Lepisosteus oculatus: one gene and its partner. The protein of the gene in region 1 interacts with the protein of each later gene in a biochemical or structural test. Links are inferred from orthologs where the notes say so. Each region holds a gene or a part of one and is shown on either strand. Other genes may lie near its edges.

Evidence for each region.
Region 2: the proteins of rnf7 (region 1) and ube2f form a complex in vitro, tested with the Homo sapiens proteins (10 studies listed by BioGRID, with this or other methods). The link is inferred for Lepisosteus oculatus from reciprocal best matches to the Homo sapiens genes RNF7 and UBE2F.

Annotation. Positions count from the first base shown.
Region 1 is NC_090708.1:15,894,702-15,901,581, forward strand, and holds rnf7 (RING-box protein 2), read right to left. Parts: upstream 2,277-6,880; 5' UTR 2,240-2,276; coding exon 2,065-2,239; intron 1,553-2,064; coding exon 1,505-1,552; intron 937-1,504; coding exon 818-936; 3' UTR 529-817; downstream 1-528. UniProt on the Homo sapiens protein: Catalytic component of multiple cullin-5-RING E3 ubiquitin-protein ligase complexes (ECS complexes), which mediate the ubiquitination and subsequent proteasomal degradation of target proteins.
Region 2 is NC_090707.1:7,789,622-7,797,690, reverse strand, and holds the start of ube2f (NEDD8-conjugating enzyme UBE2F), read right to left. Parts: upstream 3,041-8,069; 5' UTR 2,803-3,040; intron 1-2,802. UniProt on the Homo sapiens protein: Accepts the ubiquitin-like protein NEDD8 from the UBA3-NAE1 E1 complex and catalyzes its covalent attachment to other proteins. Together with the E3 ubiquitin ligase RNF7/RBX2, specifically neddylates cullin-5 (CUL5).

The sequences.
Region 1 (6,880 bases):
TACAGTGCTGCCATTCAAATAAAACAAGGGAGTAGTGAATCATCTGACCATGCAGCAGACTGAGATGATGTCCAGGGTAGAAGGTAAAAAAAAATAATCAGTAAATACACTTGCAATCAAACACTCAAGAATAACAGAGCAGTTAAAATTGTTAGGGAGAGACCCTTTCTCCCTTCTGGCTTATCCTTCTTATAATGAAAGATTCAAATAAACACTGAATAAACCAAAAAAAAAAAACACACAACAACCATTAAGTTTAGAAATATGCATTCCTGGACAAAACTGCTATCATGTCAAGAGGACTGGCACTTCTACCGTCATTTTTTAAAAAGGAAAGTACAATTTAACACCAGCTTCTGCTTTGATTGACCTACAGTATATACCGTCAAATCATTCCCAGGCCTGTCTTTTAAAATCCTGTTCCCAACCTCAGCAAAGCATTCCCAGATATCAGGCCCTTTAAATCCCTAAAATCCTCCCCCATTGGGTTTTCCCATCCTTCGGTTTCACACAAACAGATGATACCTATTTTCTTTTGATTGTTTTATTACATCACCAAGTAAAACAGGCTCCTGTACAGTCACGAAACATGCGAAGAGAACTGCTGGAAGGCCTTTTCCTGGAGGGTCGTCTATTCATACTTGCTCCCAGGAGGTCTGCAGGAGCTGTCCGCTTCCCGGCAAATGAACGGATTAGTCCCAGGCCGACGGATGGTAGCCGCCCCACACGGCGAGAGGTAAAGGCAAGCCCATCTTGGCAAGTCCAAATTCAGGCCTGTACGAGGAGGGTGAGCCTGCACCTGATGCACAGGACGCGTTCACTTGCCAATTCTCTGAACCACCCAGTCCTGCTGGCAGAGTGGGCACCGGTTGTTCTGTTTCACCCACAGGGACATGCAGCAGTTGTGGAAGGAGTGGTTGCACTCTCCCCAGACCACTGAAAAGGAAAAGGATGAGACAGGCTGGCTTTAAAAATCCACCAAGCAACAGATCACATTCTCTGAGAGCTCATGAACTGGACAGGGTTCAAGAGGTCCGAGTAAACTGCAGCTGCCCTTTACATGCATAGGAATGCTGTGCAGTGAGGTCATTAAAAGGGGTCTGGATTACCATAAGAACGTCAAGGCACCTATTGATAATTTATCAGATCGTTATTCTGAAGTCGAGAGATGACTGTTATCTCTCGACTTCTTCAAGCAAGATAATTCTGGACACAAAAAATGCGGTAGTATCAGGAATATGAAGCAGACAAACTACTCCCATGATTTTAGTATGTAAAATAACTTTGCACTTATCACGATTAAAGTAAAACGCCAGCACCGTTTTCTTGATACTGCGTTATTTGGTTATTCAAGTAATGTTCTGCAGATTTAAATTATTGTTAACCATATGTTCTTAAAGCAAAGGTGGGCCGTAACCAGTAGCACTGAACGGCTAAGGCAATTAATTCTTAGTCCAGCTTTCATGCTTCACCAGATAACACTATCAAATCACAGGGGACTCACCGACACAATCTTCTTGTTTATTTTCCGCCTGGCATCGAAGGCAAGCATCTAAACAAGCAGGAAAAACACATGCACTGCCAGATTGAAATTGACGTAAAAATCTGAAATGTACTTCCAATACGTTAACATACCACAGGCAAAAAAAAGCCGCAACTTAACACGTATTTTTACATCATTTTTCGTTACAAAAATCGTAAAATGTTAACTCAGACAGCTAGTTATAATTATATACTTACATACACTATAATAGAGATAACTGTAATGCTGACTATTCACTCGAAACAACGTTTTCTACTTTATTACTTAAACAACAACATTGTCGGATTTTGCTACGAAGCTACAATATTCTCTTGTTGATAAGTGCACAAGGCCTACTGCGACGCGACCTGCATGTTACTGCTTTTATCAACCAAATCTTAAAAAAAAAACTCCCGCATCGCACCACTTCCCCCTCTTACATTAAAAAGAGGTGCATGGCTGCTGCTGCCGACCAACAGGATCCACAACTTCCTTTCTGGTGAAAAGACACGATAAAGCCGTCCTCTTTTTGTTTCACTTACCCATAACCTGAACTCTACAAATGGCACAGGTATCGCACTCTACGTCCCAGCTCCACATTGCCACGGCATTCCACTTCTTTAAGGAAAACATTTTGTCTCCTCCAGATTTAGAGCCAGATCCGCCGCTGTGAGAAGGAATCAAAACCGGCTCGTCTCCGTCATCCATCTCCACCATAGCAATGGTACAAGGGAAAACAAAATGGACGGACCAGTGCGGCTGCACAGCACAATAAGCCAATGTACTACTAAGGGCCAACCGCAAGATGGGGCTAAAGCTCCAACGTAATCTTAAATCGCTACTGGTGTTAATATAATTTAATATTAAATATAATTTTTAACACATTGATACCTGTTTTGGGTAGAATTCAATCATACTGTCCTAATATTAAGCATAATAACATAATATTCATACTGTAGAAAGGCTAGTATGTTTTATGATTTAACAATTGTAATACCACATGCAAACTGTGGTAAACACACACATCACACACATAGTAACGCAGAAAAATTAAGAAAATCCAAAATTTCTAAAAATAAAAACTTCATACATGGTAACAGAAGCACAGGATAAATGAGTCCAGTCAAGGAGAAGCCCAAAGTAGACACTGTACCCTGTAATGTAAAACACTCTGCTCCCCCAGGCTACTCAGGAGTGAGACTGGGCATGAGATAAATACCTGGCTCAAAGAGAAGTAGTCAATCAAAGAGAGCTCACTGGTGTTGCATTTTCAACTCAATACCTCTCAGCACAGCAGATGCTTTAATCCACAATCAGAGCTCTGCGTTTTAGAGTGACCTACCTTTTTTCAAAGAAATGTGATAATGAGTCCCATGTGAAACATTTTTAAAGCGTTAAGAGTATAAAGACAGATACTTTTCATTTTTTAAGCCTGACATTTTTTGCAAGAAAGATTTTATTTTATTTCTTTATTTCATATCGCCGTTTCAGCTGTTTCTGTCCATGCTTTTGTAATTTGAAAATAATTTTCAGTTACCATCATTCAGGTGAATTAAGGACATAATTAAAACAAGTAGGCAACATTAAAGCTTCTTATGAATAATCTTGTTTTTTTTCTGTTGATCAGTTAAAATTGGTTCATTCACTAGTTGATCCCTTGTACACAGAGCTTTAATGACATATAACACTGAAAAAATTAAATATAAGAAAACAAAAATAAGAAAGATAAGGTTTGAAGTTAAAAGTGAAATTTATTTTTTGTACATTTTGTGTTTGCATGAAGCAGTGACCCAACAGAAACTAAAGTATTCTTAGTTCTTTTCTGTTTTTCTTCTACTTTGGAGGGCTAAGTGAATTCTTCTATAGTGACAAACAGCAAACAGTCAACCACAGCCAGTCAGATACAGTTTCATCCTGAGATCCTACTCTCTAACTTTGTTACTTTTGAACACATTCCTTGTATGTAATCTTCTATTTATTGGGTTATTCCTGTAGCACAGCATGGTAACCTTCAAACGGAATAGAAAAAGGAGCTGAGAATGTTAGCATGGGCATAAAATAACGCCAATCAAGAAATAAAACAACACTGTTGTGGTTCCGATATCAGATACTCAGCTGTTTGAGGACCAACAGTGCTCATAGTATAGATAACAGCATGAAGAATGCGTACATTCTTGCAGGACCATGATAAAAAAAGAACAATTCTTTTGTCTCATAGTAACAGCTGGGAAAACTAATAGCAGCTATTGTATGAGAATGCGATCTTTAGCTATAAACAGACAGAAAAAAAAATGAGAGCTCCCAACTTTCAGAGTCCTGTAGCCCCTTCATCACTGGTTTGAATCTGGGCTCTGTCATTAGTCAACAGCAGCCACTGTTTCCTGAGCAGAGCAACACAAAACAATTCAAGAAAAAAGAACACAATGCATCAACAAAAAATATTGTTTATTTCTACCAATTAAGGTACAGTATACCCTTACAAACAGAAATACAAGGCAGTTTGATAGTATTAATAGTATGGGTATACCTGCTTTTCAATATAGCATTTAATAATGTTTTTAACTTCACAAGAATGTAACAGGCTTTAGTAATTCATAGTTAATTGATTCCAGGATCTCATCCAGCCATTTCTTGAAACAAGTCAGTATCTGCTTCAGCAACATGACTGGGTAACTTCTTGAAGACTCCCATCTTTGTATAACAATTCTGTCCCCTTTTCTCTGTTTTAAGTGAACTTCTCTACAGTTTCAGCTGTCCAAGACTAAATATAGCCATTATTTTTAGTTGTTAGAATAGGACATTCCTTTAAACCTAGGAATGTATCTAGTTTGTAATTTTTGGCCTGATTTCAAATCAGCATTATCAAAATACTACACAATATTCTAAATTAGTTCTTACTAGTCCATTGTACAATTTTAACATCCTTTGATTTAAATGCTACACTTTAAATGCCAATGTAGCTCAACATTAATTCTGATTGATTGATTATTGCTTCTCCTCATTGTCTAGAGGATGATAGTAATTTGTCAATAGGTAGCTCCTACATGTTCCCTGTCCTCTGTCTTATTTTTTTAGTTTGAATTTCTGGTATGTGCATTTACCACTCAGCTTTATCACTATTTGTCTCCATTAAATGCCACCTGACAAGTGATTACTGAGTATTCAATTTGTCAAACTATTTTTTGACATCATCTGCACATTGGACTAGTTCACTGACCATTCCAGAATCTAGATCATTCAAATCACTTTTCCTAATAACCCTCTTTGCTTCATTATTCAGATATTGTCAGCTGTCTTTAAACATTTATTGATTATCTCTGCAATAAATGTTTAAAAATAGAAGGAAGATGTTCAATTTCTACTGTAAGATAATTCATTGTGTATGTGGGGCACTACAGAAATGCAAGATTAGTAATTTTACTGATTGAAACTGAAAGAAAATAATAAAATATCTCTGTAGGTTAGTCTCTTAAACAAAGACATCAGTACAAGTGGGTAGGAGGCTGTAGATGCAGTGAGTGTTGAATACAGATCTTTAAAGCACAGACATGAATTTGTGGTTCCAGTTCTTGGGCCCATTTGGTAATGAAGAAGAGACCTGATGCTGTGGAACTTAGAAGCAAACCGAGAACAAAAGGTGGTCATTTGATTGGAATGAATAGAAGACCAGTAGAAAAGTTACAAATCAGAGGAGGCTATTCTGCTCATCTAGCTCAATTGGTAGTTAGTAGTCAATTGATCTGAGTGTTTCACAGTGTTTCTCCAAAGAAGCCAGGGTATTGGGGCTTGTTCCATACTCTCATTCCATTTGGGTGAAGAAATGCTTCCTGTTGCCAGTTTTAATTGCTCTTCCATGTAGTTTGCACTTGTGCCTTCTAATTCTTATTTCAGTATAAATTCTGAAGAATTCAGCAGGATTGCCTTAGATGATTGTGAATAATTTTATAATTTACTCTCAAAACCATCCATGTTGAAGACTAAAAAGATTCAGTGCCTTCAGCCTGTCAGTTTAGGGCATTCCCTTAAGCTCCAGAACCACAAAGAACAAACAGCAAAAATGTAGCTTCAGCAGGCTACTCTTGTAAAGCTGGTAACTTTAGCTGAAGTACCTCAAACATTACTCCTTAGAAGTGTTATCTTTCATATCATGAAACAATGTAGTAAATATGAAAGCTGGCCTAATTCACAGTTTTAACACAGCGTGAATGTGGGTTTAAGTGAAAAAAGAAAGCTGCCTCAAAATAAATGTATCCCCTGCTGGCCTTTCAACATCAATGTTGTGAGTTGTACTTCCATAAAATTGTTTTAAAAAATATTAAAACTCATAACATTGTAATCTATTTAATTCTATAAAACATCATTTATGAAAAGCCACAGGGGGAATGTTATTTGACTATCTGAAAGAAAATGTGCACATTTTTGTTTCATTGCTCAGCATTTGAGCCATATGTGGAGAAGGGAAGTGATACTAGCTGAGTTCCAGCAGGTCTGAAATTCAATTAGCAGTCTGACTCAAAAGCTTAAATAATCAATGACAGTGCAAAAGCAAGTGATGTAGTAAGTCACGTTACCCAGGGCCGGATTTTGGTGTTTGTAGGCCCTATGTACTTCCACTCCAAAATGTACAAAAAGAGGGGTAAACACCAATGGAATTACATTGATTGACATGATGCACTTTAAACTATTCTAATGCTAAACCATGTGATTGATGGAGCAAGTCGAGCAACCATCACTTCGATAGTTTCTATCTAGTTTCTAGAACAGCCGCTAGATAGCTAGGAGCACCTACAGTTGATCGCAAGCATGTTGTGCCTACAGTGTCTAATGGGAAATCTGGCACTGACTTTACCCCATGATGGCAAATATTGATCCACTGCCTTGCTTTGCTCTCCTCTGTTTTTGAAAAGTGAAGCATGATATGTGAATTAAAGAAAGATTGCCACTCCTCATATGAACATCTTGCACATTTGTCTATTTATCAGTCCTGATATAGAAGCACAGATAGATCTGATTGATAAAAACAGGAGCAATAGTACTGTAGTGAACCAGCTTGTTCAAAATGAAGGTGGACAGTGGAAAAGCATTCACTATAGGCAATCAGAGACTGACATGCTAGTGGAGTGTTTCAATTATTTAATTTTCTATCCATCTGTATTTGTTGCAATTGTATTTCTTCAATTACCTTTACTTCCCCATGAGGGATCAAGCATTGTACTGTAAGTGAATTGTACTTTATTAGGACTTCCTTGAAATGTCTATTTCTTCAATGAGTTGATCAATTATGTTATTTCCACAAAACTCATTAACAATATCAAATGTCTACTATCATAGCTATACAGTATATAAAGTTGTAGTGCT
Region 2 (8,069 bases), on another chromosome or scaffold:
CTGGACTGCAATACGAAGCAGTCTGTTATATTTCCCGATAACTACGTTTCCTAATGCCCTGATACAGCATCCCAAACAAAGTAGGCCAGAGGGTGCACGTTTTCTCTCCAATGTCTAAAAGTGGAACACATAAAAACTGGTTATGTATTATTATAATTAATTATCATCACAAAAGTTATGAATTGACTGGAATCAAACGATTTTGCATTCTAGTGCCTTGCTGACAAAGCAAATAAAGTCGTGTACTGAGAACTTGTTCTTCTAGGTACTGCCTGTAAGAGACTTCTGAGAAGTCTTGTCAATAGCCATGTCTGCTGGGGTGGTCAATGAGCATCTGTACGGCTCAATACAGCAGAGAGCCACTCTGTGAAATAACAGGAAATACAGATCAAATAAACCAGTTCTTTGACCTCCTCTGTCCTCTCTCCTTTGTCCCTTCCCCACACTAACACTCTTACATAGTGTGGTGGAAACTTTAAAAGTCATGGGATAAGAGATCCATTTCAGATGGAGTATCTGAAAGCAGCTCTTCTATTTCTTTAATGCGTAAACACATCCACACAGACTCTGGCACGAAGAAAATATAGTTAACATAGTTAGAAAAGGCCATTTGTACAGCAATCAGGGACAGACTGGGCTTCCCTGGGCAAAGCGCTGCCCTCAGCAGCGCTGTTTGAACGTCCTGCAGCACACTGCTCTCCCCCGGTGCTCTTTCCTGCTTCATGAGATGCCCTGTATCACATGTCACAGCGATTCCTATACATGTCTGAGCCAAAGGTGTGCCCCTCCCCCACTCCGTTTCCAACAGCTGTCACAAACAGCCCAGCCCCCTTGTTAACTACAGGACTGGGACAAAGCCTCCCAGGGGTAGGTATTATTCATTTACTTGGAAGACAGTTTTAGCTACAAAATCTTAAATTTGGACCTAATTATCCAGTGCAGCATTTTACTGAAAATCTGAGCAAAGTGCCTGGCTCATGGGTAATAGAACAGCACCCCATTAAAGTTCCGAATCCCCAGACATCACCTCCACACCAGAAAATGATTCTGCTGTGATTCCGATCTGTGATTGACATTTGCTATGGTATTTCTTCCTTCCACTCCAAACGTGGCAAGTTGAGCCATAATCCGTTTTTCAGTTTTTATTTTTCTTCTTCATACTGCAGGACAACCAGGCATGAAAACCAAGAAGGCCTCTTTAAAAAGGTGATGTCTGAAAATGTATTGTGGGTTAAATTTACTATCATGGGAAAATATCACTGAATAATTTATGCAAAAACTGATAACTCTTTTATAAGAAAGTTCATTGTTCACAGCATTATCCCTTCATTGTTAGAGTCACTTACGAACATGAAAGACTGTGGTTTTTATAACTCCATCTATATCATGATCTGTGAAATACTGACAAATTCACTGTACTGGTTCTCAAACCAGAGAATTTCCCTAGAGCTAGTGAGGACTCTGCAACCCCTCCCCATTAACCCTGTCCCAGAATTTCACTTTAGGCCAGAAATGTCCAATACAGAGAAGACAATCTGAAGAGCCAAGATAGAATAAAGTTAAAAAAAAGATAAATGTAGCAGCACATATGTAGAACTGCACAATAGTAAGATTTATCTTAATTACAGATGATAAAAATCTGATTACTCAACATATGTGTTTAGTATAGATTTAAATCTAGAAGAAACAACCTGAAGTATAATCCTTTGAGTTATAACATTTTTATTATGGTCACTTGAACAGTCAATTAAAAAGGCACTGGTGTACCTCTAAAAAGGCTCCCAGAGAAACCCGTACACAGCGGTTCTGCAGTCCCTCTATGCAGACAAGAGCAATCCTGCACTGAGCCCCTATCTTGCAGAATTCCTGAAATCCACAGTATACCAGAGCCTGCATTGCAGCAGTTAGGAGAACTCATACATCTGTATGTAGTGGCACACTGCTGTAGGTAGCAAGATAGCCACAATTCTGCTAGTTTTGCAGGTTATCTATAAACCACGGACTGCTTAGAAAATACTAACCCTTTCATTCCATAAAACTAACACCACATTCTGGAGCAGTGCCAGCAATCTGGGGAAAAAACACCTTGAAGGAAGCAGTGACTAGGCCTCTTGAATAAGAGCCTACAATTTAACTCTCATACACCTCCAGGTTAAATAAAACATGTATTATTACTTATTAGAATTCACTAGCTTATAAAATATAACAAGGACTTTAAATCCGCGTGATAATGCGTTTTGACTCGCTAAGGAAAAAAGAGCATTCACGATTCTAACTAAATCCATAGACACCTCATTATTTGAAATTACACTTCATTTGTTAATATTCATTTCACATCAAACTTCAGGAATTGCTTGTACCGGGATGTCAGTGCAAACAATCCACAATACGGTATCATCCAGTCCATTGCGGAAGGAATCACAACAAATACTTAATCAGCTTCCCAGTTCCTAAGAATATATCAACGTTTTCAAAAGGACAGTGACACCCATGTCCTTCGGGTCACACTACAATACAGCTGTCAAGACAGAAATTGTAAAAAACAGAAGATGCCGGTCATATCACTACATTCCAAACAGCTCACTTCCAGTAAATACCGATACAACAAACGAGAACATCCAGAGAATGCCTTTACACCAACAACAAAAAAAAAACTATTGATTCAAACATTTTAAACGGAATCCACCAGAGGGACATTTAGCGAACCTCATCGCGGAACACATTCACAATTCTTCTGTTCGGTTCAAACTGGCTTTCGCGAAAGCGTTTTAACGCCTTCCTTGTTTTTTTTTTTCTGTTTACCTGCTGTCTCTGAAGAAAGCGTTCCGGATTACACCATTACTAAACACCGACCACAAGCACAGGTCTGTCCGCTGCTCAAGCCGCAGATCACTATGTCGGTTAGAAACAACTCCCGAAAAAAAAAAAAGGTGATTAGGATATGGATTTTCTGGAAATTTCACAGCTTTAAACTCTAGAAAACACCACTACCAGAGACGGAAGTGCCGTTTCTGATCCCTCTGGTAAAATCGTCCGACCACCACACGCGACACTTAAACAATAGTTCCGCTGTTTCTATTACGTGTATTTATCCGGTATCATCAGAAACCGTTTAATCATCCTCAGAACAAAGGTCTCCCGTTCCAGTGCTGGAGGCCCGGTTTGTCCAGAGGTTTTATTGTCTAATTAAAATCAACATCATTAAATAGCTTAAAGATCTGTTAAAATGATCAAATTAAGACAATGATAGACTCAGGTCATTATCACACAGAGAGAGAGAGAGGACACACACATACAGAGGACAATCACAGAGACACCAGTTAACCTGGACAGCGTGTGTTTGGACTATAGGAGAAAACCCATCCAAACAACATGCAGACACCACACATAAAACACACTTGAAACCAAACCCAGGGTCCACCACAATATGCTCATAGATTTGCCTGGCTGCCTGTCACATGGTGTATGTGGCTGCAGCAGCTGAGTCCAGGACCCCCACCCCAGAGACTGGCAGAGAAGAATATAGTCCTATGGCCTTAGATGGAGAAAGTGCCTGGACTTCATTGAGCTACAGTGTTAGACAGTGATTCAGCCAGTGCTTATGCATGAGTCTTCAAAAGGAAGTACTACAGTATGTACATTTCTATAGAATCTTTATCAACAATTTGCATGACTGATTCCCATATTTATGTCATCCTTAAATGAACAGAATGATAGAGAAGAACTAGGGTTTCAGCATTTGAGCATTTCAGCATGGGCTTCCTTGCTAGGCTCCCTTCTGTGAATGAGGGGTGGGTAAGGACAGCTGTCTGTTTCCATGAAGCAGAACCAGTAGGAGCATTGTGGTTACAGACACTGCTGGACAAGAAACATGTCTGCACCTCCAGATGGGCCCCAGCCCCATTCCAGTATGAGGTCACTGACAGTCCCACAGCTCTGTCTGGGTGCTGTATGTTTATACACCTGGGCACACTTTCATGGATCACTCATTCCTTTATATTCCCAGGTAGGACAGTGTCAGAACAAATTCTCATTGACCCATTCATACAGCGGGGCATTTATTCATGTTATCTGGGGGAACGCATTGTACTGTGCTTAAGGGCAGACGAGAATCTATGCTGACAGGTTGTGGGTTTGAGTCCCTGCTACAGACACTGCTGTGGTACCCTTGACTGAGGCACTGTACCCCAGTTGTTACGGTGCAGAAGAAGCAGAATCCTCTGAACTCAAAAGTACCAGCAGGAGTTTCTCCAAAATCATGGGTCAGGAGGTCAGGCCAGGGTCAAAAAACCAGTAAATCCACAATAACCAAGTCAAGATCCAGAAGACGAAGTCAGAGACAAAGCCAGGGGTCAGTGCCAAAAACCTAGAAATCTTGCAAAACAGAGAACAAGATACAATGCAGCTCTAGCTAGGTAAAACCCAATACTGAGCAAGGAGTAGTGTGTCAGGTTGGTTTAAATAGGCAGATGGAAGAAGGTGTGTCTGATTAGTTCATTGGAAACTGCACTGGAGTTTGAAGGAGTTGATTAAGGGTGGTGAGTTCTCCAGGGGCATGATGTAACACCAGTTACTCCGGTCCTCCCTGACAGAAGTTCTCTCTCATCCTTGGAACGCTACAGAAACCAGGATGACCTCTGGCCCCGTGAGCTGTGTGGCTCTGGTCTGGATTCTACCTGTTTACCTTGCTCAAGAGTACAACTAGAGTATAACCACCTGGGATTTGAACCCACAGTCTTTCAGTTGGGTGTGTGGAGCTCACCACTACCGTTTCCATTTTGTGTGAAAGGGTTCGTGGTGTAGTATAGTATCAAGATTGATGTGGCTGACAGAAAATTGTTATAAATTAGTCCAGACTTTTCCAGTGTCTCTTTGCAGTGAAACAGTGGAAATCCTGTCTTGTTTGGCTGCCGTGATTTAATGTGGTTTGTGTTCACCTTAGAAAGGGCACAATTCCAAAATCATTAAATGAGTTCATGCAATTCACAATTGAGAAGCGGAATGTGGCATCACATTAAAACTGATCTAGGGCTCATTTCTGCCTACAGCACTGCTGTGTCACAGTCTCCGAGAATATCAGGGCATCTTTCATTTTTTTTCCAGGCCTAGAGATGCCACAGAGGAAATTACATCTCTGGATTCTGCTCCTGGTTCAGCAGGAGTGTCAGAAAAGCTACACACTAGATAATGATCTTTTGTAATGAGACTAGAAAGAACAGCAAGAAGCTAAAATGAGTAAATAATTAAAGCATGCTCATTTTCCTTTCAATGTGATATTAAGAATTTCATAGACACTGAAGCCTAATATCATATAAAAGGTTCTGGTTTGCCACAAGGAGCTTGTTTTTATTAAACTATTCAGATGCAAAAATATCTTTTTTAAGTGACGACAAAAATAAAATGTAAAAATCTTAAGTACAATTTGCATAAGCATGTGAGGAGTACCTGAAGAGGAGCTTTTCAAAACACAATACATTCAACAACTAGTTGTGAGCTCATAATGCTACCAGAAAGAGGTTGTTAGCATTCTTCCTAAAATAAAAGAACATGTTACTCCTGCCCTGGCTGCTTTTTCGTTTGTATTCTACGTTATTCTCAAGCAGCTGAAAGGCTCTTAATACATGCACAATACAATAAAAGATTTCCATGACATGAGGTGGAGCTGTGGTTAGCAGTGGTTAGCATTGGCCCTTGTACTGCTGGGGCCCTGGACTCAGTTCCAAACCTGGAGCGATGTCTGCGTGCAGTTTGTGTATTCTCCTTGTACTTGTGTGGGTTCCTCCCACAGTGCAAAGACCTACTGGTAGGTTATTTGCCTGGGAAAATTGGCCCTGGTGTGAGTGTGTGTGTATCTGTGTTTGTGTCTCCCATGCAGGGTATATCCTGCCATGTTCTAGCTGCTTGCCAGGATACCAGGATAGACTCAGGCTCCACCTTGGCATCTGAACTAAAAGAAGTGGTTAGAATATAGATGCATGATGCTAAAATCTGATCACTACTTACTACATGTGGCACAAAAGAGGACATCTCTTTGAAAGAAGAAAATTTAAAACATCTATTTAGATGGACATTCTTTAGATCCTTAATGAACTAGTGATAATGTGATTAAAAATATTTTGCATGCATCAGAGCAGCTCGTGAATTAGAGTAGTTCGTGAATTATTCATACAGTCCCAGCACAATTTGCAAAATGCAATATTACATTACAAAGAGCAAATTTTAATCAGCAGAGACTTTGACCACAATATTAATGGCATAATTAGGTTTGTTATCAAAAATTATTTTTTGACTTCATGATATCCCAACCATAATTAAAATAACTGTCTTCTATAGGAACGATCAAAAACAAAGTGTTTAATCAGACAATGCAGGACAGAACTTCTATGGATGAAAATGATTTAATTTACCTCTGAATCTGAAACTCATTAACTCATCCTCCTTTTGAATTCTAGATGTGTCATCTGGAGAAAAACAAAGAGATGTGCTCTTTAAGCCCGTGCAGTTCTGTGCTCTCGAGACACCTGTGCTGTTTGTGTGTTCAAGTTGAATAGATTTCAGCTTTCTCCAGCTAGCAGAGACAGATGCCTGTTGTCATCATTTCAAGAACAAGGACCAAGATAAGACAAAATTGTATTTCTTTACTTCATATGCATTATTTGGGAAAGTAGGTAGGTGCTGTAAGGTCATTTCCATATCCAAGTCATATAAGCTCATCGGGCCAGAGCTCATGAACCAGTGTGGCCGATATTAAGTGGTGTTAGGTGGCCTAGAGAGCATGTGACTCCCCCACCCACACCTCTCCTGGACATCAGTCCATTGCAGAGCCTACCTCCAGCAATACTTACACAGCTGGGTGAACTGGGGTTATGTACCTCTCTCAAAGTGCAACAGCAGTGTCTTCAGGGGGGACTCAAACCCACATCAGGTGTGAGACCAGAGACCATGCTACACCACCCCCATTTGTGTATATAATAAAGATATTACAATAAACATAACATTGTGTCTGTTTCTGCATGAGTAAATACTCATAGAGGTACAAACCATGGAGCGATGGGATGTCTATACTCCTGGACACAGGGTCCCATGGATGCAGAAGTGCAGTGATCTCGCACATTTGGAAGTGGAGTGAAGTCATCTGGCAGATGTGAAAGGGGATTGAAGGGCAGTCTATGCTCTTGGATGCACAGGTAAAAAAAAGTAACTCATTTATTCAGTGTGCTCTCAGCTGCCCACAGAGCAGAAGATTAAAGCTGAAAGACTTTAGAAGCCTTGCACGCCAATCCGTTTCAGTGTGAAGAAGGCATAAGTGCATTCAAGTCAAATGTCTCTCTCTCAAACACACACTGCATGAAGCAAAAAGCACTGAGACTAATCTGTTGTAACAAAAAGGATACAAAACAGCAGAGCCGGGTGCCTTCAAATGTGAAGGGGGCCAAAGTTTTTGTGGAGTTCTGCTACACTGTCTGTACACATTACCCATCCTGAGTCCTAATTGGATTAACTGAAGTGAGAATATAATGGCTGTCTGTACTGACAGCAGCTCAAAACAAAACCTTCAAAGACCTTAAAACTTTCTTTCCCTCTGGTATAATTTACTCAGCACAGCCTTCCAGCTTAGATGGTCCATGTCTTTCATTGAATTGTGGGAAGCCTCCATAAGTATGGTAAGGATGGAAAATTCCAGCTGAAAAAATTAAAGCAATTCATGTGCAGGAAAAGCAATTTTTACAAAATAATAAAAGCATGCTAGTGGCCAGTTCAGGCCATTTTCATTTTTCTGATCACTCAAATTGGCTATCTTGGCGGTCACTCTATGCTATCCTCTATGGTGGGCTGCAGAGGAGACTGAGGTGACTGAAAGAGTAGTTTGACGCAGAACCAGGAAGAGATGTGTCACTTGCTGAAGTTTGCTAGACGGAATGTATTAAAATGTATTCCAAGCTGGGCCTCTGAAAAGGGAATGAATATCAGCTAAGCACAAGAACATGTTCTGCTCAATGGACCCTACCTGGCTGAGGGAACTGCCTACTGGCTTTACTGCAGTGAAATGAACCAGTTCCCCATGGCAG